Bombyx mori: one gene and its partner. The protein of the gene in region 1 purifies or fractionates together with the protein of each later gene. This does not show direct contact. Links are inferred from orthologs where the notes say so. Each region holds a gene or a part of one and is shown in the gene's direction. Other genes may lie near its edges.

Region 1 (11,632 bases):
ACAGTGTTTTTTGATTAAAGAATTAATAAAATGGATCCTTTCACTCAGGTATGTTTCGGCAGTAATATCCAGTTTAACGGTTTCCTGTTTCAAAAGGTCGCCTCTAATTAACATTATCTGATAATTTTCAGCGTATGTTAGAGAGAGCGCGTGCTAGACAAGAGAAAATCGACCAAAAACTCGCAAACTCTGGACAAACGGTTCCGAAGAGGAAACCACTAGCAGAGAATCTCTGCGTCTCTAAATCTGTTTCGGCACCTGGGAAGTCTCCTATTAAACCTGCTCGGGAGTCAATTACTTCGCCGAGGAAGTCTCTCAAAGCTGAAACACCTGTAAAATCTGGGCCGAAAAGGAATAGTACACAAAAATCTGACCAAACTCTTGTTACCTCGCCGTTAAGACCCCGAAACGACGTAGTTGTCACAAAAAAAGAGTTCAAAAGCCCACGAAAAGGTAGTCTGACCAGGCGTAACTCCGATGTGTCAGTGGAGATCAACATTTCACATAGAAACGATATACAAATCGAGGTGCAGGTTGAAGAGAGAGACACTCCCATAAGTGTGGTTTATGACTCGCAGGCGGATAGACAAAGTAGTGTAGTCATCAAGGAGATTGAAGGTTGGTGTGGTATTTCTTTACAATTACACATATTAAATACTAGATTATGCCTCTTGCCTGAATGAAGTACTGTCTTGAGTGGTCGGTCCTTTGATTTATTAATGTATGAGACCTTCTCTAAATTTTTATGAACGATATGTCTTTCATCAAAAAGGTGGGCTAGTACCAATTAGAGATATTAAAGTCTCCCAAATCAAAACCAACCATTACAAAACTACTAACAAACATGAAATATGGATATTTAATCTCTAAATTAAATACACAATGAATATTATATCTCAAAGATCAATATAAATTGAATTTACATCAGGCAATGCCTTGATTATTGTCCCTAGCTTTGCTAAGGTTCACAGATGACAATAACCACTCACTATTAGGTGGTATGGTATGGCTACAGTAGATATAAAAAAGTATATTTGATCTCCATAGTCTGAAAATGTACAAAAGTATAATTAATTAATTTTAAAGTTACTACTTTTGTGTATATAGAAAATATTACAAAATAAACATATAGTAGGATAAAGTTACTTAGTTATTTAAGTGTTATTTACGTAGACAGATACCACTGATAATTCATCCAAATGATTTACAAATTTTATAAATACACATCTTAAGTGAGTAAACAAATACTTTCAATTGATAAGAAGTACTTCTTCTTGTAATTTTAACTCAAAATTTTAATAGGTTTAGTTAGTGAACTTGTCTTATTTTTGTAAGATAAAGGCAAGACTGGAGCCACTACAATTAAGCTCAGCACTGGCTCTAGGCCTTGCTGTGAATATACCATAGTTTATTTATTTATTTATTACACTTCATGTAAAATTTACATTGGCGGACTTAATGCCTACGGCATTCTGTACCAGTCAACCAAAGATAGTGCAGGGTAAATAGTGGTAGGTGCAATGAAATTTATATTAAATTACAAATACATACCCAAAAAAATGTTTAAATATATATAGCTTATAACATTGTTCTATGTTTTTTACCATCGCATAATGTTTGAAGGTGGGTCTCAATTTTCACATAAGCATTTATTGCCCCTGCCTATTTGCTGGTAGTCTAAGGGGCTATACCAGCTACGCATGAATCGGTAGGTGACCTCACAGGCTCAACCTGAGAGAATTTGTTAACACTAGTTCTACCAAAAGTAGCGCTTCGCAGAATCTACTGCCGGATCGGAATCGTGACTCACTGAGAAGATCCGGCGAGAAACTCAGTAAACGTCAGATAGGCTTGTGGTCTTTTAACAAATACATATTTAAAAAAATGCAATACCTTGTAAGGTAGCCAAAGTCCATAGTGACTAAGTGCATGTCATTGACTCTTGTATTTGTTGTATTAGCCATTACCACAAAGCAATCCTTTGTGTAAACACATTAGCCACTCTTGAACTTCAAAATTATTGAGTAAACACATTAGCTAATAATTTCCATGAAATAGTTAATATAGTTTGAAAATCATTGTACTTGGTGTTTTGTTTTCATCAATTTGTCACTATGTTATTGTGTAGTGTTTTTGTTTGATGTAATTCGAGTTTGTTATGTTTTTTTGTGGTGTTGAATGTTTATTTGGGTTAACAAGGTATGTAGGTAATATTAAGAATGTATTAAATAGAAATTTTGCTATTTCTGGTACTATATGGCATTTTAATTTTATTTTTTGAATTTTTTGTCATAATTGTGGTTTTATTAAAAACCATTGGTGACCATTTGAGACAGTGGGCTGCTTGTTGGTAATTGACAAATAAGTTATTGTAGTTAGAGACAATATGGTAACCAACGTGGTTAATCCAAGGTGCGTTTATTGTAAGTTGAAAAAAAAACCCTTATATTCATAATAATATATTATCTAAGTTGCTTATGAGTGATAATAACTACTCATCAAGTGACCCATGACTTGCCTGCCTTCTGACAGTAAAAATATTTTTTTTACAAAAAGGTTAAAATTTGAGAAACAAGTAACTAACTGCTAAAATTAAGAAAACACTAACTTAAAATAAATATAAATTTAAATATAATACACATTGGTCGAAGTAATGGTAATCTTTTCTATTCTAATAATTTATTTATATTGTATAAATTAAAATTTTTGATTCCAATGAGACAATATGATAAATAATTATAACAGAAGTATGGATTTCGGTCCCGTGCTGTCCACAGCTTTATAATCAAAAGCACAATGATCTTGTCTATTTCAAAAATGGCACGGATTTAATTTTTTCATGAATTTCTTAACCTCATACTAAACATTTATGTATTGTTTTCAGAAGACACATCCAAGGAATTGGTCAAAAAGTCTATTGTAATGTCAAACAGCAAAGACGATAAGAGCGGACTCAGACACAACATGAAGTCACGACTCGACAGACTTGGTAATCTATATTCAGGTATGTTAGTGTATTATTTGTATTGTTTTCATATTACACTAAGGTATTTCTATCTTCTTCCTCAAGTCGTTCCCTCACTAATGAGAATCCTAGCTTCAAACTGCAATGAACTCCTCCACATGCTACGATTTCCGTCCTTTTTCTCTGCCTACTGGTGGTAGGACCTCTTGTAAGTCCGCACGGGTAGGTACCACCACACCGCCTATTTCTGCCGTGAAGCAGTAATGCGTGTCGGTTTGAAGGGCGGGGCAGCCGTTGTAACTATACTGAGACCTTAGAACTTATATCTCAAGGTGGGTGGCGCATTTGCGTTGTAGTTTTCTATGGGCTCCAGTTACTACTTAACACCAGGTGGGCTGTGCGTTCGTCCACCCATCTAAGCAATAAATAAAAAACCTCTGAGGGTCATGTCAGCTTCGTTGACCGAGTAGGTGAGCTCACGGGGCTCTAACCTGACGAATTTGTCAAACTAGCCCTACCAAGAGCAGTGCTTCGCAGAATCTACCACCGGATCGGAAACGCGACCACCTGAGAAGATCCGGCGAGTAACTCTTTCGTCCTAATGGAGAACTTTAGGCATTGACATTTTGATTTCCTTGACCACCTGGTCAGAGCAATATCTAGGAATTCTTCCCTGAAGTCTTTTACTGTCTACATTACATTGTTACACCTATCACTATATAATCTCTGTATTATAAATTCTCTATAATTATTGTCTTCCAGATAAACCAGAGCTCTCTTCGCCTATTCACCGTACGGAGTCGGAGTTCACATCAGCGACGCCGCCTTCGGAGTTCGAAGTGAAAAGTAAACAGACAAAACCACAAGATGGGAAGAAGAAATTTGGTAGACTCGCAGCCCTCGCTGATCAGATTAACACTTGGGAGGATGATTTGACCCATCATAGTTTTGTAAGTGTTCACGACTTTTAATTTAGGATACAAGATTTATTTGAGCTGACTAGTTATATCCTACTGTTCTAAGTATACTTACTGGTGGTAGGACCTCTTGTCCGCGCGGGTAGGTGCCACCGCCCTGCCTATTTCTGCCGTGAAGCAGTAATGCGTTTCGGTCTGAAGGGTAGGGCAGCCGTTTTAACTATACTGAGATCTTAGAACTTATATGTCAAGGTGGGTGGCGCATTTACGTTGTAGATGTCTGTGAGCTCTAGTAACCACTTAATACCAGGTGGGCTGTGAACTCGTCCACGAATCTAAGCAATAAAAAAAATAAAAAAACCCTGCACATATAGGCAACACAACGTGATTGTGTTCATCCTCCTTCAATCATGAGGTAAAAGGTACAATTCTTACACAACTGCCTCTCCAAACTGGATAGCACGACTGCTTTATGGCAGAATTAGGTGGAATGGTGGTACCGACTCGTGTGGGTCTAATCGCCTTACCAGTAATCTATACATGAATGAAACTTTGTATCCCTTTTTACGAAAATTGCGCTGACGGAGAAGTATGAAATTTGCCACACTTGGCACACTTAGAGAGAATATATAGAGAAGGAGTGCAGAATGTTAATATTTTTTTTAATTATGCCTAAAAATACATTAAATCAATAAAAATAACACTACACACACTACCATGTATTTGACGCACACACGCCTGCATACTATTTATTTATTGTCAAACTACAAAAGTTTTACAAAAGTCTTGACGTCTGTGGTCAAATTGAGAATAGATTTCATATTGTTTGTCTTATAATATTTTTATATAGTGTAGTCATGGCGAAATTTGTGATTAGAATCATAATAGTGTACAAACTTACAATTTCAATTAATTATAGTCGAATTTCGACTACTGCGGGACAACTAGTAATACTAATTTGTCCTTAATGATAAGTAGATTGACATTTTACTTGTACTGTAAAGAAAATTTAATAGTATCTTCTTTTCTTCTTCAGCAACCAGAGCCTAATAAGAAAACTGCAAACAATTTCAAAAGCAAAAAACTTGAAGATTCCACTCTGGATGTCTCCATACATTCCATAAAGGATATTGACAAGGCTTTGAAAGTTACTCAGAATAAAAAGGTTTGTATGTTTGTAGTGTTGAAAAAATATTAATTAAACTGCCCATCTCCATGTGGGCTATGTAGGTCTCAATATTAGAAACATAATGTTATATTGCCATGTTTGGAATTTTGAAATTGAATGTTTCTTGCAACGTCTTGTTGTTTACTGATATAAATATTTTTGGATATGGCAGCACGACACGAGAACCCTCTTGTCGTGGCCGCTGGAAACTACATACCCGATCCTGTAGACCGAATGGTAAACAGTCGATGTCGCCCAAAGCACGTCATTACGGATCCTCCCGATCCATTAACAGTGCTTTTAGGTACCTCAAGCACCGGTCATCGTCCTCGTCGAACCCGTCGCTTGCGACGAAGGGCTCGACGAGTAAATGAACCCTCAGACACAGCCCACTGAGTTTCTCGTCGGATCTTCTCAGTGGGTCGCGTTTCCGATCCGGTAGTAGATTCTGCGAAGCACTGCAACACTCCGGTTTGAGCCCCGTGAGCTCACCTACATGTTAGGGCGAAGATGAAACAGCCTCTCAAGGCTATCAGCATAGGTAGGAAAAAAATATATGGCTTAAACCAAATAGCCTTTTTTCCCTCTACACGTATATTATTATTCAAACACATTCATCGTCAGAAGAATTGTCACTTTCACTTACTGATCTACTTGACTCATTGTTTTAACATAAAATATCTTCTGAATCCTTCCCCATCCCCAAAAGCAATAAGACGCATCACGAATACAAACTATAATATAAAAAACGAAACACGTAGAAATGTGCATCTTAGTTACGTTGCAATAAGGTTTATTTTTAGTTAAATAATAGCTGTACCCGTCCGCTTCGATAGGCTTTTAAAATTAACATTATTATTTCTCACTCCCATAAAGATTCTCATCATTAGCGCCTCTACAACTGGTGTAGGGAGTCCCGCATATAAATATTAGCCTATCTATTAAGTACATGCAATTTTCTACATGGATACCAAGTTTCAAGTCAATCGGATGCACGGTTCAGCAGTTATAACGGAACATCCGTAAGAACCACAGTAGATTTATATATTAGTATAGATTAGTATAGATGACTCATGCTTTCAGACATCACACTACACTAGCAACAAGACATCGACGAAGCAGGTGAACGAATGTCAAAGATTGAAAAAGCAAATCGTCGCGGAACTGGTGAGTACTTAGGATTTAAGTTACGTACTCTTTGAACGATCACAGATGTGAGGTCTGATGTTTGTACAGAGATTAGTTTTATTAATATCACTAGCGGCCCGCTCCGGCTCCGTTCGGGTCTTTAACAAAAATTTCAACGATATTTGACGTTGTTTTATTTTTTTAAATAAAAGAACACTTATTGCGGCATAACTATAATAGTCAGACATATGCTGTCGCGACACTTCTTGTAAATAATAATGTGTTCTACAAAGTCGTGGTACATTATTTTATTCTATCATCAATAGTTTTCGCAGGGCACGCGATGTAAAGAATATTTTAGGTAATTTTTTTACACGTTGGATTACATTATTGGAGTTTTAGTAAGGATCCCTAATTTTTTTCAAAAAAGATTACTATACTGGCCTATGTCACTCGGGAATAGTGTAGCTTCCAAACAGTGAAAGGATTTTTCAAATCGGTTCAGTAGTTTCGGAGCCTATTCTAGTATATTCATATATTCATTCATACTATTCTGCTGATAGTACCTACATCCGACCTCACAGTTCTGAAGTTATTAAATTTTAATTATTCAATCAGTGTATTTCAGCTTAACAATTTAAGTATTACGTACAGAAGTAATGAGAAATTTGTGATTTAAATTTTAATAAAAAAAATAAAAAAAAACTTAAATGAACACAAAGTTCAATCAAAACAAACGGTAAGTAAAAATTTATTTTATATTTGTATTTATGTGTTGATTTTGATATATTTATAATAGATAGCTTGGTATTTACATAAAATATGTTTGTTTGTATGTAACTGAATCTTTGGACGTCATTACCATTGACTCGAAGACTCAGAATTTTCAAGTTAATCCGATGATTTGAAAATTTTAACACGCATTAATTACGATAAATATTAATATCGACGCTTGAAAGGCAAACGTGACTAAGTGACAATGCGTGAACTTTACAGTAGACTATTTTAAAGTTGAAATACCTGAAAACAAAATTTATTTTATCGAATCCAGCTGTAGTAGAATCTAGCTAGTAGCTGTAGGATTGAAATGATTTTAATAGACCTAGAAATATATATATTTTTTCCACATCGAATATGGTTATTGCCTATCATTTATGTACAAAGCAGTTATTGTCGCTTAGTCACGTTTGCCTTTCAAGCGTCGATATTATAAGTTCGCTCCAGCATCCTTAAAAAGAAAGAAATGAAATTGATCGTTAAGTAATTACAGTTTGCTTTTTAAGGGAGTGTTTTTTTTTTTTAAACTACCTACATATTATTATTTTATAAATTTGAAGGTATCTTAAGTCGTAACTAACAACTTTTTCCCATTAGCTATTAACAGAACCTTTAGCTTTCCACGATTGGATGGTGTGGGATCTTTGTTTTGTAGTTTTAAGATAAAAGATCGGAGAGCGTACCTAAGATTTGTTTTGTTAAAAAAAAACAATACAACTAATGTCGGCTCTTAAGTTTTTTTTGTTTTAAAGGGATGTGATAATGACGAAGTTGCACTATAATATACAAAGATTAAACGTTTGTTTGAATGATCGTTTGCGTCGCAGATAAGTTAATTCTTGATACGATATGTATTTAATAAAAAAATCCTACTCAAAAATGTTGTTGTTATAATATATTAGAACTAGTTGTGCCGCAGTAGTCGATATTCGACTAAAATTAATTGATAATATACCTAAGTTTCAACATTATTGTCGTTAAAAACTATAATATTTCTATAATCACAGATTTCGCCAAGACTACACTAGACAAATAATAATAAAGACAAACAATATTAACCTATTCTCAATTTGACCGCAGACTTTAAGCAATAACAAAAGTTTGACAATAAACAAAGAGTGTATTTATGTGTGTGTATCAAATACATGGTAGTGTGTGTAATATTTTTTTATTGATTTCGTGTATTACTAATGCATAGTAAAAAAAAATGCATTCTGCACTCCTTCTCTATATTCTCTATAAGTGTGGGAAATTTCATACTCCTCCGTCCGCGCGATTTTCGTAAAAAGGGATACAAAGTTTTTGCTTCACGTATTAATATATAGATTGTTACCACTATGCTATTTGGTATTAGACGAATTATTGAGATATGTTAACGAGCTCAACCGCCCGGCATTAAGCTGTTACTAAAGACTTGACGTCTCACGTATATGCCGTTTTGAGACAGATTTCAAGTCATTAAGTACATTAGTAAAATGGCTGCTCTGCGCTTTAGCCATAAACTGACTACAAAAAGGCTATCTAAGATAGTAAGCTACGCTAAGATAGTCATTTTAGCTCCGAGATAGAACGTGCAGGGTTGTATCGTCTCCTCCATAAAACTGACATATGAAATCTCTTTATCAGCACTCTACGGGTTTGTTGACTTATCATTTGTTGAAACTTGGTTTTTCCCCTAGCATTAGCAATGACCATTGACGATGGTGACCAGTATCCGTTGGGTGGGCCTGATACTCGTCTGCCATCGTTAGCAATAAAACATAATACACAATTTTAACAGAAGAGAAAATCGGTTTCAACATAATAAGATCTTGATAAATGGGATTAAATAAGAAGGATCTGCTTTGATTAAAAATAGATCATCAAAATCGTTTCACAGCACACGTAAATGATGTAATACGTCGTAGCCTAAAGGATAAGACGTCCGGTGCATTCGTATCTAGCGTTGCAACCGGTGTTCGAGTCCCGCAGGCGGGTACCAATTTTTCTGATGAAATACGTACTTAACAAATGTTCACGATTGACTTCCACGGTGAATGAATAACATCGTGTAATAAAAATCAAACCCGCAAAATTGTAATTTGCGTAATTACTGGTGGTAGGATCTCTTGTGAGTCCGCACGGGTAGGTACCACCGCCCTGCCTATTTCTGCCGTAATGCGTTTCGGTTTGAAAGGCGGAGCAGCCGTTGTAACTATACTGAGACCTTAGAACTTATATCTCAAGGTGGATGGCGCATTTGCGTTGTAGATGTCTATGGGCTCCAGTAACCACTTAACACCAGATGGGCTGTGAGCTCGTCCACCCATCTAAGCATATTTTTTTTTAGCATAGACAACCTTTTTTTAAATAACTCTTAAAAAGGTTAAAACTGTATCAGGGAAGAGTATTAAAATGGCGGTAGAACAGAATATGAATTTGAATTTAAATTCTACAATGTCAGATTAGATTTTATGTCAAGGTCTAATAGAATTAACGTCGTCTGATAGTAAATAGATCGTAAAAACGTAACCTATTATGGTGTAGGTAATATATTATGACAACGATTCGCGCGTGTACGTAGATGGCGCTTGGCCTTTGACTGTATTTCGTATCGTGGACTATAGACATACGAAGAGTAGTGTTAATATTTTACTTTCAATTTTTTTTTGAACGAAGTTCCTTATCGCGCGTTGTGAAAGGGGGCTAGACGGAAAAAATTCTTACGAAAAGTTGTCACGACACTTTTTAGATCCGTCATTCTGACCAATCAACGTGTAGGCGCTTATCGCGTGACATTGCTCGTATCCGATTGGTCCGCGTAATGAGTACAGTTTCTCGAGATAGCGTTTCAACAATAGTAATTTAGTTCATAGTATTGTTTTTTTCTTCTTCATAATGCCGTAATTTATTATTATAACTTAAAAAAAAAATTACAATTCCTTCACTAATTAATCGAAAGGAACTTCGTTCCATCCGGGTGTCCCTTGACACCTCTGAAGTTTTTTCTTTTTTATTATACGTTTTGATATGTCGTAACGCGCGTGGTGGCTCCGTTCACACGAGAGGTAGTATCATCTATAAGTCATTATAATTCGAAGGGTAATAGGTTAATTGGTTTAACTTTACAGGAGAGCCATGTATAGTTTAAATTTGAAGAAATAGTACATTGTGCACCAAGGGAGAAAAGTAGGACATTTCCTCCCGCGTGTAAAATTGCGCGGGATGAGATGTCCTACTTTTTTCCCGCGGTGCACATACTGTTTTTTCTCCTACCAGGCCGAAAGTTCGTGGAGTATTGAGCCGGGGTCCAGGGGCGAAGCCCTGGCAGGGGCATAAAAACACAATTTAACTGTTTTTTTAATTTTTAAATAAACTACTACTAATTGAATAAGAACTGTCTGATGAACTCATCTTTGTTTAATACTTCACTATTAAATTTTATTGCCTTTTGTTTATTTTAATTTTACACTAAACACAATATTGCAAATAACCCGAGCACAACAATGGCGGAGAATTTTAGGTGTGTGAGAGCAGACGTAGACACTAACGCGCATGCGCACTTGTCAGTACCCGGGGAGAAAAGTTAGACTTTCTTCCCTGTACAGCGGGAGGAAAACCGAACTTTCGGCGTAGGTAGGAGAATAAATATCATAACTTCTCTAGCTGTTTGAATGGTGTAACCTTAATTGCAGCTCAATTAAAAACGTAGTTTGTTGATACTAATACCAAATAAAACGCACTTTTAATTACAAACATAAAGGACAATGCCCAAAAGTGGGCCAACTTTATGTCAAAACTATTTGTACTTGAAAAACTATGCCTTATTTTTTCACGTTGTTCAGTTTATGTATCAACATTACTTTCAACCTGGCATTGTTTTACAAAAAAATAAATTACTTATTTGATAACATCCCAAAACTGAGTGCCATAGTTTTTAAATTCGCCAATAGGCAAAGGGCCTATCGTTGCCGGCTTCCGGATTTGCATTTTATTTTATTATTATTATGAGGATATAATAATAATTATTTTATTATTATTATGAGGATATAATAATAATAAAATGTACGTAAAGGCTTATTTCTAGCAAAATTAACCACAATTAAGTTATTTAATACTGTAAATAATGATGAGAGCGATTATTGATTTCGAAGAAAACAATTAACAACTTAATTTTAGCTGCAGAAAAAAACAGATTTCTCTTAAACCTGTGTGAGAATATAAAAATCGTTTTCTGAATATGAAACGATATTTCTTTGTCTATCAAATTAAGTTAAAACCATCATGACCCGATAACTTTTTTTAGGGGCCCAAACGCCCTAAGAAATTGGACATTGTCCTTTCGCGTATTAAGCTAAATGTCGCTTAAACCAAATAGCCTTTCGCCCTCATTCAGTGCATTAAAAATACATAGATCGTCATGAACTCGTATCGATCATCGCACGCGTCTATGTTGCGGTACAAATCACGCAGGCAGTCATATATTTTCCAAGGAAATAACTGTGTGACAGAACACGTGCTCATTAAGGACTTCCACGATGAACAACGTCCCTTAGTTACCACCATCCTGCCTATTTCTGTAGGGAAACAGTATCTTTTCAGTTTGAAGAGTGGGGCAGCCGTTGTTCTATACGATTAAGACCTAGACCTCATGCCTCAAGGCGGGTGTGAGGTATTCACGTTGTAATCTATGTGGTT
Region 2 (11,632 bases), on another chromosome or scaffold:
GGGATCGCCACGAAACACAGCAATAGCGTGTCGGTAGATGTCTCCAAGCCTCCGAGTACAGCGCCCCCACCAACACCTGCCCCGCCAGTACCAATATCTGCACCTCCCGCACCAGTACCGACACCCCTCAGGAGTACAGAGAATATTATGAAGGTAGGTTCGTAATTTTATCATAGAATGTACAAGAACGGATAAAACAATGACTGTATTTATTCTTATTATCAATACATTGTATAATGAATGTTACACTGTGCGACTTTCATCATATTACAAGAAGTTACTGTTGAGTCATTGTAATATTTAGTACCCGCGTATTATCTCTATAATGAAATCGAACATACGTTCGTATTCATCTAATGACGGATTTAGATATTCTGATCAATTCAATGATTTTGTAATAATTTAAACATTGAGTGTATTTCATTCCAGAAAGCCGAACACCCACCGGTCGCGCCGAAACCAGACTTACCTAAAATAGAAAAACCAAAAACCAAAGAACTAGATGGCTACGTCGGTTTTGCTAATCTGCCGAACCAAGTGTACAGGAAAGCTGTGAAGAAGGGCTTCGAATTCACGTTGATGGTCGTAGGTAAGATATAGCTGCGTTGTTAATGCGCAATACGAGAGCGATAACAACTGTAGTTCGAGCTCGGTAAATAAGGGCCGTCTTGTGTTTGTTATGAGTTACTGACATTATTTCTATTACATTTTATCTTATTGACGTCAATACCCCCGACGACTTTCATAAGACTATTTCTGTATTTATGCATCTTTTTGAATTAGCGAAACAAATTCCTAATGAGACGTTTTTAATTCGAATTCAAGGTGAATCAGGCTTGGGCAAGTCGACACTAATAAACTCGCTCTTCTTGACGGAGGTGTATGACAAGGACAAACATCCGGGGCCGTCGCTGCGAGTGAAGAAGACGGTTGGCGTTGAAACCAGCGTCGTTCTTCTAAAAGAGAATGGTGTTAACCTCACGCTGACCATCGTCGACACGCCGGGATTCGGCGACGCCGTCGATAACAGTAATTGGTGTGTAGATGATACTTAAAGAATTAAAGAAAGAACTCCCTTAATGAGTTCGGGAATTAAGTAATTTGTTTAAAAATAGTTTCTGTCGTTATATATTTCGTCTTCTTTTGTGTGTACTATTTTAGGCATGCTTTAAATACATAAAGGCTCTTTCGTATTGTATCGTACTTTGTAATTTTAGTTGGGTACCACCACCCGTCTATTTCTGCCGCGAAGCAGTAATGCGTTTCGGCCTGAAGGGTGGGTGGGGCAGCCGTTGTAACTACATATAGAGACCTTAGAACTCATATCTCAAGGTGGGTGGCGGCATTTACATTGTAGATGTCTATGGGCTCTAGTAACCACATAACACCAGGTGGGCTGTGAGCTCGTCCACAAATCCAAGCTATAAAAAAAACGTAATATCAAAAGAACTGTATACCCCAACTCTCTCCTCACGTTACAGTTGGCAACCGATCATCGACTTCGTTGAATCGAAGTACGAAGAGTTTTTGAACGCCGAATCACGTGTCGCCCGCAAGGCGGCGCCACCGGACACGCGCGTGCACTGCTGCCTGTACTTCATAGCGCCGAGCGGGCACGGACTCAAACCCCTGGACGTCGAGTTCATGCAGCGACTCGGAGATAAGGTCAACATCATTCCGGTCATCGCTAAGGCCGATACAATGACGCCCGAAGAGTGCAAGGACTTCAAAGAACAGGTTCGTGATCAGTTTTGTGTAAAGTGTAAAGCAATAAGTTTGAAGTCGTCGTGGCCTAAAAGATAAGACGTCCGGTGCATTCGTATGTAGCGATGCACTGGTATTCGAATCCCGCAGGCTGGTACCAATTTTTCCAATGAAATACGTATGTACTTAACAAATGTTCACGATTGACTTCCACGGCGAAGGAATAACATCGTGTAATCAAAATCACAAAATTATAATTTGCGTAATTACTGGTGATAGGACCTCTTGTGAGTCCACACACGGGTAGGGACCACCACCCTGCCTATTTCTGCCGTGAAGCGTAATGTATTTCGGTTTGAAGAGTGGGGCAGCCGTTGTAATTATACTGAGACCTTAGAACTCATATCTCAAGGTGGGTTTTGCGGGCGGCATTTGCGTTGTAGATTTCTATGGGCTCCGGTAACAATTCAACACCAGGAGGGCTGTGGGCTCGTCCACCCATCTATGTAAGAAAAATAAAATACAACCGAACAATAGAGCCGCGGTTGCCTAATCAGTAAGACTAAAAGACTAATCTCATTAGAAAATACCACCTCATTTTTCAAGAGGGTGGTGCCGACGTATACTGAGGAGTTCGGGCCCAATTACGTATTAATCTTGCTCATGGACACTTGCTTCATGAAACATGCAGAGTGATGTTTATACCACGCACTGAACTGTCAGACTAGAAATTACACACGATTGTGTCGATATAGATATAACACAGAGTAATAATGATAATTCCAGATAATGAAAGAAATCGGTCAGCACAAGATTAAAATTTACGACTTCCCGGAGAGCACGGGCGAGGAAGGGGACGGCGCTGACGTCACCAAGTCGCTGCGGGCGCGGGTACCCTTCGCCGTCGTCGGCGCCAACACCGTCATAGAGCAGGACGGGCGCCGCATACGGGGCAGGAAGTACCCTTGGGGCATCGCCGAGGGTGTGTACTCTTCAAACAGCCTACTCACATTAGATTCAACATATTAACTCCCCTCCACGGTGTTTTCCGAGCGCTATGACATGTTCTTCTTCAAACGAGGCTTGCGGAGAGTACTTAATGGTAGGCAGCGGCTTGGCTCTGCCCCTGGCATAGCTGACGCCCATGAGCGACGATGACGACTGACCATCAGGTGGGCCCTATGCTCGTCTGCCTACAAAGGCAATAAAAAAATTCAAAAAGAAAACCTGTGACGATTTTAAAATTAATAATTATTATGACAAATGTATCGCTACTTGTGAGTCCGCACGGGTACGTACCACCACCCCGCCTATTTCTACCATGAAGCAGTAATGCGTTTCGGTTTGAAGGGTGGGGCAGCCGTTATAACTATAATGAGACCTTAGAACTCATATCTCAAGGTGGATGGCGGCATTTATTTTATAGATGTCTATGGGCGCGAGTAATTACTTAATACCAGGTCGGCTATAAAAACTGTGGTGCTGCTGATAAACAATAATTCTAAATACTTCACAAAATAATAACTTACTTGTGATTTTAGTTGAAAATTTGGAGCACTGCGATTTTCTGGCGCTTCGGAACATGGTGATACGGACGCACCTTCAGGACCTGAAGGACGTGACCAGCTCTGTGCATTACGAGAACTATCGATGTCGCAAACTGGCCGGACTCTCGCACGACGGGAAGCCGCACAGAACCAACTCTAATAAGTACGTTAACTCATATATCATACCATTTCGAACTAATACTTCTTCAGTGAATAATTACGCATTTTACTTTTAAAAAAAATACGAAGTACTTTCTTCGAATTAGCAGAATTCAATCGGAACAGGCATGTTTAGTTTTAACAACCTAATAAGACAGGGTTGGTGAACTAATTAAACTAATGTTATTCATTTTTATTTGTACTGTTGTCACCATGTTCAAGGTCACCAGACTATAAATATGATTTTTTTGAAAATAGATTTGAATCTAAATTAATAATCATATTAACATTGACACCGTGTGTTCCATTACTTTTATCATTGCTGCATGTCTGGTAACCTTTACTGATTTGTATCTTTCCTCTTTACTGTCGCAGTTGTGAGCTGAATATATTTTGTTTTGTATGTTTATGTTCAGTATTATATAATAGCTGCGTACGATATATCTATTCAAACGAACGTTCTGTGCTTGGGCATGCAGAAATGAAATAATAGTTTTTAACATTTATCATTCGTATTCGTCATGGACCATTTAATATTGGTCTTTAGATTTGTACGGAAACTTTTTAGTAAGATAACGTTTTTGAAACCCACACTGAGATGGTCCATGACGAATCCAGTACATGTTACAAGTTGCAGTTCATTCGCTTTCACAGTGGCATTAATAACAATTCATTCACGATTGTGTGTTTAGAAGTGATTTGTCAACTATTTAACGAGCGTGTGTCATTTGTTCGGTTATGCACACTATGATGTCACTTATTCATATCTCCATTTGTATTTATCCAAAGAGAACAAAAACACATCGAAAAAAGAAGTGTCTCGTGCCAGCGAAGTGGTTCACGTTTCGTTGTTCTATTGTTTGCTTTAACACAAAAGATGTTGTTGTCATTGATATTGTTAATGAACATATAAAGAAAGGAGAAAATAATATATAATGAACAAATAAAGAACACTGACAAATTATCAATGAAAAACGATCATTTGATACTAATATCAAATAAAATAAAAAAAAACATTTTGGATAGAGATTAGGATCTTGTAAATATTTGAGCTGAGTGACATTTTATTAAGTCGATGACGTCACATAATAGTAACCTTATTTTCGTAATGGCAGCCAAATCGAGTGTTGCCAGCCAAAAAAAAAGTTTATCTGTTTATGTAAACGAGAATGAGTTGGTAATGCCACTGTATGATTGCGCGAGCACAGCCTCCTGTGTCGTTAACTATTGGTTGTGTTGGTGTTCAGTTTGTGCCCGCAAGGACTGATGAACAGTTTCATGACCGTGTGGTAAGTTCCCCACGAAATACATTTTGAATCTACGTACGTAGAGCACGGTTTTAGTCTGGGTCACGTGGCCGAATGAGGTCTCACAATGTGGAGGGACTACATGTTGTTAGACTTGGGTGTGGCTTGTTATTAGTTTTGCATCATTTCGGTTATAGCGGCTGTGGGTGTTGTGTACTAACTCGTGATTGTGTGGTTGAGGGTTTCGTGATTTACTAACTTTTGAGTTTTAAATGATGTTCGAAAAAGAACGCTGGCGTTCAAGATTAAAACCTTTTTTTTTTAATGTTTTTTTTTTATCGTTGCTGTCATTGTCCTAGGTCTTCTTTACACAGCTTTCAATGGTAATTGCTTGTAGTTTTTTCAACTAAATGTAAGGAACGATATATGCATGACAATTTTATTTTGATACCCCTATACCCAAATGTGTTTATTATTTAAATACAGAAGGACAAAGCGTCTAAACAAATTAAGTAAAACGTTTTATTTGTGATTTTACATTTTAAATCCAAAAGTTATTTCCCCTTTTAAAGATGAGCTTGATTTGTTATTATCTTAAGATCTGAATGTAAAGTTATTAGTAATTATTGGAAATGTTATAGATATGACACTAAGATTGTTTTGCATGATAAATTTTGTACGTAATAAAATTAATGATGACATTAAGAAACAAAAATTTGCACCTACAACGGTTTTGTGTAAATGCTTTTGTTTACTTCCAGGAATCCATTAGCACAGATGGAAGAGGAAAAACGCGAACACGACCTAAAGATGGAAAAAATGGAGAGTGAAATGGAACAAGTGAGTATTAATTTTCAAGATTTGTTTTCTTGGGTTTGTAGATCAATATAAACATCAATGTTATTTTTGGATTAGTCAAGTAAAAATTTAAGTAAATTTTGATTTTGATTAATGAAAATGTATAATTGGAACCCTTTTCATCGAAATTCATTTGGATCTAGACCAATTCGCACAACAATCGAAGACCGTCTACGTTGTTATCGTGTGTGATAGGCGTTCGCTCAAAGTCAAGTCAGGAGAGCATTCAATCTTGCAATTGCCACCACTGAATTGAAGTCGTCGTGCCCTAATGGATAAGACGTCCAGTGCATTCGTGTTGAGCGATGCACCGGTGTTCGAATCTCCGGCGGGTACCAATTTTTCTAATGAAATACGTACTCGACAAATGTTCACGATTGATTTCCACGGTAAGGAATAACATCGTGTAATAAATATGAAACCCGCAAAAATTATAATTTGCGTAATTACTGGTGGTAGGTAAGACCTCTTGCGAGTCCGCTCGGGTAGGTACCACCACCGCCTTGCCTATTTCTGCCGTGAAGCAGTAATGCGTTTCGGTTTGTAGGGTGGGGTAGCCGTTGTTACTATACTTGAGACCTTAGAACTTATATCTCAAGGTGGGTGGCGCATTTACGTTGTGGGTGTCTATGGGCTATTTCAGAAAGAAATTATAAAGGACTTGGCTTCGGCCTTCATGAAATTTTTATTTCAGGATATCATATAAATCATATAAGACCTGGCTTTTTTGAAAATTTATTTCAGAAATTATATAGAACAGACAAGGCTGTATAGGCTTAGATTCCCTTGCCTTTTCTAATAAGGAAAAATTGTACAAAAAAAAATGTTTATGGGCTCCAGTAACCACTTAAAACGAGATGGGCTGTGAGCTCGTCTAAAAAAAAAACGTGATCATCGCTCGTTTTCAGATATTCCAAACGAAAGTCCGCGACAAGCGCGCGAAGCTGAAGGAGTCCGAGGCGGAGCTGGCGCGGCGGCACGAGGCCACGCGGCGCGCGCTGGAGGCGCAGGCGCGCGAGCTGGACGAGCGGCAGCGCGCACTCAACGCCGAGCGCGCCGCCTGGGAGCGCGACACCGGCCTCTCGCTCGACGACCTGCGCAGGCGCTCGCTCGAGGCCAACAGCAAAGAGTACATATACCACCACTACACTACAACTATTTAGTTCATTTTAACGTTCCCGAATCTGAAACGAGCTTTTAGTATTTTACTATCACTATCATTATCAAACAAACGTAAAATGGAAAGCATGGAAAGTCGAATGGAAAGCAGTCGACGTCGCCCAAAACACGTCATTTCGAATCCTCCCGATCCACTAACGGTGCTTTTAGGTACCTTAAGCACCGGTCATCTTGGGGCTCGACGAGGAAATTAACCCACAGACACAGCCCACTGAGTTTCTCCCCTGATCTGCTCAATGGGTCGTGATTGCGATCCGCTGATAGATTCTGCCAAGCACGGCTCTTGCTAGGGTTCGTGTTAGCAACAACGTCAGGTTTGAGCCCTGCGAGCTCATCTACTAGTTCGGCGAATCTAGAATAACCCCTCTAGGTTACTAGAATAGATAGGAAAAAAATAGATTTCGACGGAAAACTACAATAATAAAATTTTGTTGTATTTTCAGAACCGTTGACGGCAAAGAAAAGAAGGACAAGAAAAAGAAAGGTTTGTTCTAAAATGTTTGTTTGTCTGAAACGTCGGCCTCGCACCCACCGCGACAAGCGCGTACTAACCTCGTGTTTCGTCACCGCGTCTCTCTTGGATATGTGTTGTCTAATGCAATAAACTATCGAATATAATCGGGAAGCGAATCACGCTACTTGTATAACGGGGATCGTCTCGTAAGCGACGCGACCTGCATTCATAACAAGTGTCCACATCGATTTGATGTCGTATTTAGAGATGTTCTAAATTAAACTGTTATGCGGAGCACGTCGTGGAGAGACATAATCAGAATAAAATTTCGTACGTTGCTGTATATAGGGTTGCCAAATGTATAACACTGAAACATTAAAAACGATTGTCGTGCTAAATTTAGAATACTCAACTATTGATACTCTATTTAGATTCACTTGTCACTTTTAGGGTTAAACGAAGAATTGTTTCGCAAAAGCGAAAAGTACAAGGATGTTACGTTTTAAATCTGTGAATTAATTTATTACATTAAAAAAAACAACGCTGGCAACCCTAACACTACACGTACACGCTTGAACGATGTGTTAATAAACTTGAAAATTCCTGTCTTCGTTTACGGTTTTTGGTGTTTGTGTGTATGTGTTACGAAAATTGCTTAGGTTATAAAAAGCGTATGAAAAAAAAATATATGCCCCGAATTTAAAATCTCCCCTGTCTATTTAATTTGATGTCTGTAAAAATAAATAAATCGGGTGGGTCGTTTATTTGTAAATTGTACCTGACTATGGAAAAGCAATGGTATGTGAATATAAATCTGATTTAAAAATAATTAAAACTAAGGTTTTTCTATGAATACTAGCTCACGCTTAATTTGAATGCCGGCTAATTAATATGTCGTATTTTATGTCATAAAAGAACGAAACGAGGGAAAGTTTGATCTACATCATTGTAGTTGAGACTTCCTGAAGCAAATGTATTATCTTTGACTTTTATTCGAATTAAAAAGTACATGATGATTTCAAAATTTGCAACGAATAACATATCTACAAATTTTTGTCTCTTTTTTTTTTCTTAGTTTCACAAGCCTTTTGTCGTTACTTATGATGTGTGCATGATTAAACTAAGAGCACCACGGATTTCTTAATTTTCATTCTCCTTAACCGCATAGCAAAATGAATGTGAGAATTACACACACAAGATACGAAAATTTCTTTAAAAAAATCATCTATTTGCTAACTACCAAGGTTTCTTTGTTGTTTGCAGTTTACTTTAAGAAATCCGATATGAGTATGAGTACTGAATGCAACAATAATTACACTCGTATGATCAAATCACTTTTTTTCCATATAAAACTTAACATGGAATGAATTAATTTCACTTTATATTTTATGGGGGTTTTTTTTATTTGTCCCTAACTCTGGTCTTATTGTCATTATCTATGTTCCGTGTTACTTATGAAATGCTATGTATTGTTCAAAAACAGTAACTAAAATTAAAACATTTTCTGTCTGAATAATGTTCAGGTCTCGATTTCTTTTTCTTAGTTCATGTTTCTGAAAACCATTGAAATATTGGTATTAATGAATTTTAAAGCAATAAATGAGAATTATTAATGAATTAGAAAATTTAAATCTAAGATTAAGTACTGAGATTGTTCAATGTGATTTGCAGATTGGTCTTTTAAGAGTGTCGCAACTGGAATATCTATATAAGGTCTTCTTCATACACGTCGAATTGTATTTTAGACATAACGAATTACAACGATTAAACCAAGACTACCAGAGGCAATAAATAAATGTAGAACATCAGAACTATTATTTGAATATTTCAATTTATGTACGAATTCAAATTATTCCATGACAAGGCATTTATTTTTTAATGTAAGTGTGTGGGGCCTAATTTTGTATGATGATTTCTTTTTCGAAAAGTTTTTACAACGTTTTTGTCAATAGCAGGGTTAGCCCAAACGTTTAAATCACATGTTTACGTCCAGAAAGATGCCAAATAGCTTTTAATAATAGATCTGTTTCGAAGCCGGCATGCGTGACGGTTCGACCCAACGATGTGTGATCTGTTTAGCTCAAAACCAATCAAAAACGAAAATGAAAATAATTTAAATATTATATATAGTAAGTAACTATTACATTCGTGACAAAAGAAAATCGCTCTTGATTAACATAGGAGGCAATTAGTGGTCTACAATCGATTTGTATTAGAAAACATTCTAAAGTTTTTAACGATAAGTGATAATTTTAATTCTAATATTTCGGCTTGATCCGTGCAATTTGGAATACGCGTATGTATCGAAATCGCACAGCGTTCGTTTTAGAATATACTCGAGTATATTGTGCTTAGTGATACTAATGTTATGCTCATAGCTCAGTTTTTGATATAGGAACTAGCTAGCCGATAGCGCTCGGTATAAGGACGCGATCTCTCAACACGTGACATGAACCATTAATTATTTCGTTAATCTGTCGAGAGATTATGTAAGGCTGGTCATCCACTACGCTCGTACGCCGATAGCTCCGCGATAGGCCACGGTTTGGCTATGGCGTGACACTGTTGATTTAATAGGCGAACGTTTACCGATAGGCCGTATCCTCATCTGCCTAATAAGTCGCCGAAGAAAAATCTAAAATTACTGGCGAGTACAACTAAAAATGTACGGTTGCTTCATAGTTTGTACTGCTTTTTATTTTCGCACAGAATACGAATACAGTTGTGCGGTGCGCTATAGGTTCGCGAACGTAGTGGACGCCTAGCTTAACAAGATGACGAATCAATTCCTGTTTTAACTTTAAAAAGACTAAATGTATTTTATTCTATATTATTATTTACTTGTGACGATCATTCGTGTAAATATTTTTTTTATCGTTACACCTTATTATCTCTCATTCGACTATTGCACCTACTATATGATTGATAAATGTATAATCCTTTTTTTTAATCAGCATGATTTTGTATTTAAACTACACTACAGTATTGACTTCCACGTTATTTATTAAGATGTTTTTAGGTTTAAGAACATGCTTAGTTTTGTATCGTTTTAGGCGAATATTCTACCGTGATTTATTAATTTGCTTAGTCATTACGAACCGGAATGTTGGGAGAGCGAAGTTCGGACGGTGTAATATATTGTACCTTTGAATAAATAAATACGTAATATATAGGAAGATTTGTTTTATTTTTGGAGAAAAATATTAAAATTGGTTAACGATTCTTTTTATCTAATAACTTAACATAAATAATAAATTAATTCAAGAAACATTTGTTTGTGGAAACGATTTGTACGTAATTGAAACACAAACTACACGATGTTCGAAAATCTGTCTCGAGTCAAATGATCGCGTCTGCGGCAGGAAGGAGTTCCCAACACCACACGACTGCACTCGTAAAGCAGTGAATAAATGATAAATGCTACGATGGTTGTCGAGTCTTGTAGGTACTTCCAGAGTCCCCACATGACTGCTTTGCAGTAATATCTAAGATTTAGGTACTTACCCGGGGGGCGTACCACCTATAAAAAATCGTTCGCGTATCTATGTAGTATAAAACTTCAAAATGATCGGATATTGTTAAACATGTCGACGGGCTATTTGGTTTATGCGACATTTCACTTGATACGCGATATTTCACTTGATACGCGATATTTATCATTGTGATCAAAGATGTGTTTTGTTTGGTATTAGCTTCAATAGTTCGATGTTTTTAATTGAACTTCAATTGAGTTTACTTTATTCAAATAGCTGAAGAAGTTTTTTTATTACGATATTTTTCCAAATTTTTCACTATAAGTGGCTCTCCTGTAAAGTTGCAAAAATGTCGCCTAAAGCAATATCCTTTCAGCCCTCGATTTTTTATATGAAGGATTTTAGACCAATTGTAGGGTAAACGTAATAAAACAGTTGAATTTTATTATGGTTTGCTTTATTTGGTGACGTATTAGGAAAATCCCAAGCAAGTGTGCACCCATTCTTACGATGTCCGCCGTGGCTTCATTTTGTGACTTTTCATTTTGTGAATTTTGATTCAGTATTTTCATTTCATCATAGACAATGTTCTAGTTTTAAATACAGGGGACAAATAATTATCTTATTATTGCGAGTAAGAATATGAAATAAAAACCATGGTATTCATTTATGGTTTTCGTTAGAAATGATTAAAATCATGAACGCGGTTGACTTCCGTTCGTAACAGTAGGTGCACAATTCCCGCTAAATCGCATGCAATTTCAAAATAAGAACAGGAACTCCAACGGCCTGAACGTCAAAAGTTGCTTCATAATTTACTTGATTCAAAATAAATGTAAATATACAATAGGTATATTGAAATAATGACGATTAATTGAAACTTGTTTCAATGCTAATTGTTACACGTTTTTATTTATTTTTAAAACTATTATGATAAAATGTCATTCCCGTTCTTATTAATCGCAAATTATATTTAAGTCGTCTGTGTAAGAACGTAATCTCCTTAAAATC

The links.
Region 2: the proteins of anillin (region 1) and septin-7 purify together in Drosophila melanogaster (affinity purification with western blotting; 3 studies listed by BioGRID, with this or other methods). This does not show direct contact. The link is inferred for Bombyx mori from reciprocal best matches to the Drosophila melanogaster genes scra and pnut.

Annotation. Positions count from the first base shown.
Region 1 is NC_085126.1:7,291,549-7,303,180, reverse strand, and holds part of anillin, read left to right. Parts: 5' UTR 1-30; coding exon 31-48; intron 49-131; coding exon 132-618; intron 619-2,884; coding exon 2,885-3,004; intron 3,005-3,727; coding exon 3,728-3,915; intron 3,916-4,918; coding exon 4,919-5,047; intron 5,048-6,133; coding exon 6,134-6,217; intron 6,218-11,632. UniProt on the Drosophila melanogaster protein: Required for cytokinesis. Essential for the structural integrity of the cleavage furrow and for completion of cleavage furrow ingression and proper formation of the midbody.
Region 2 is NC_085111.1:8,880,541-8,892,172, reverse strand, and holds the end of septin-7, read left to right. Parts: coding exon 1-153; intron 154-429; coding exon 430-589; intron 590-825; coding exon 826-1,036; intron 1,037-1,481; coding exon 1,482-1,737; intron 1,738-2,490; coding exon 2,491-2,686; intron 2,687-3,245; coding exon 3,246-3,414; intron 3,415-5,418; coding exon 5,419-5,497; intron 5,498-6,423; coding exon 6,424-6,644; intron 6,645-7,137; coding exon 7,138-7,178; coding exon of another isoform or gene 7,179-7,189; exon of another isoform or gene 7,190-8,819; coding exon 8,820-8,860; 3' UTR 8,861-10,324; downstream 10,325-11,632. UniProt on the Drosophila melanogaster protein: Involved in cytokinesis and possibly cellularization. Also acts as an enhancer of the sina gene, thus having a role in photoreceptor development. May be involved in p53-dependent apoptosis.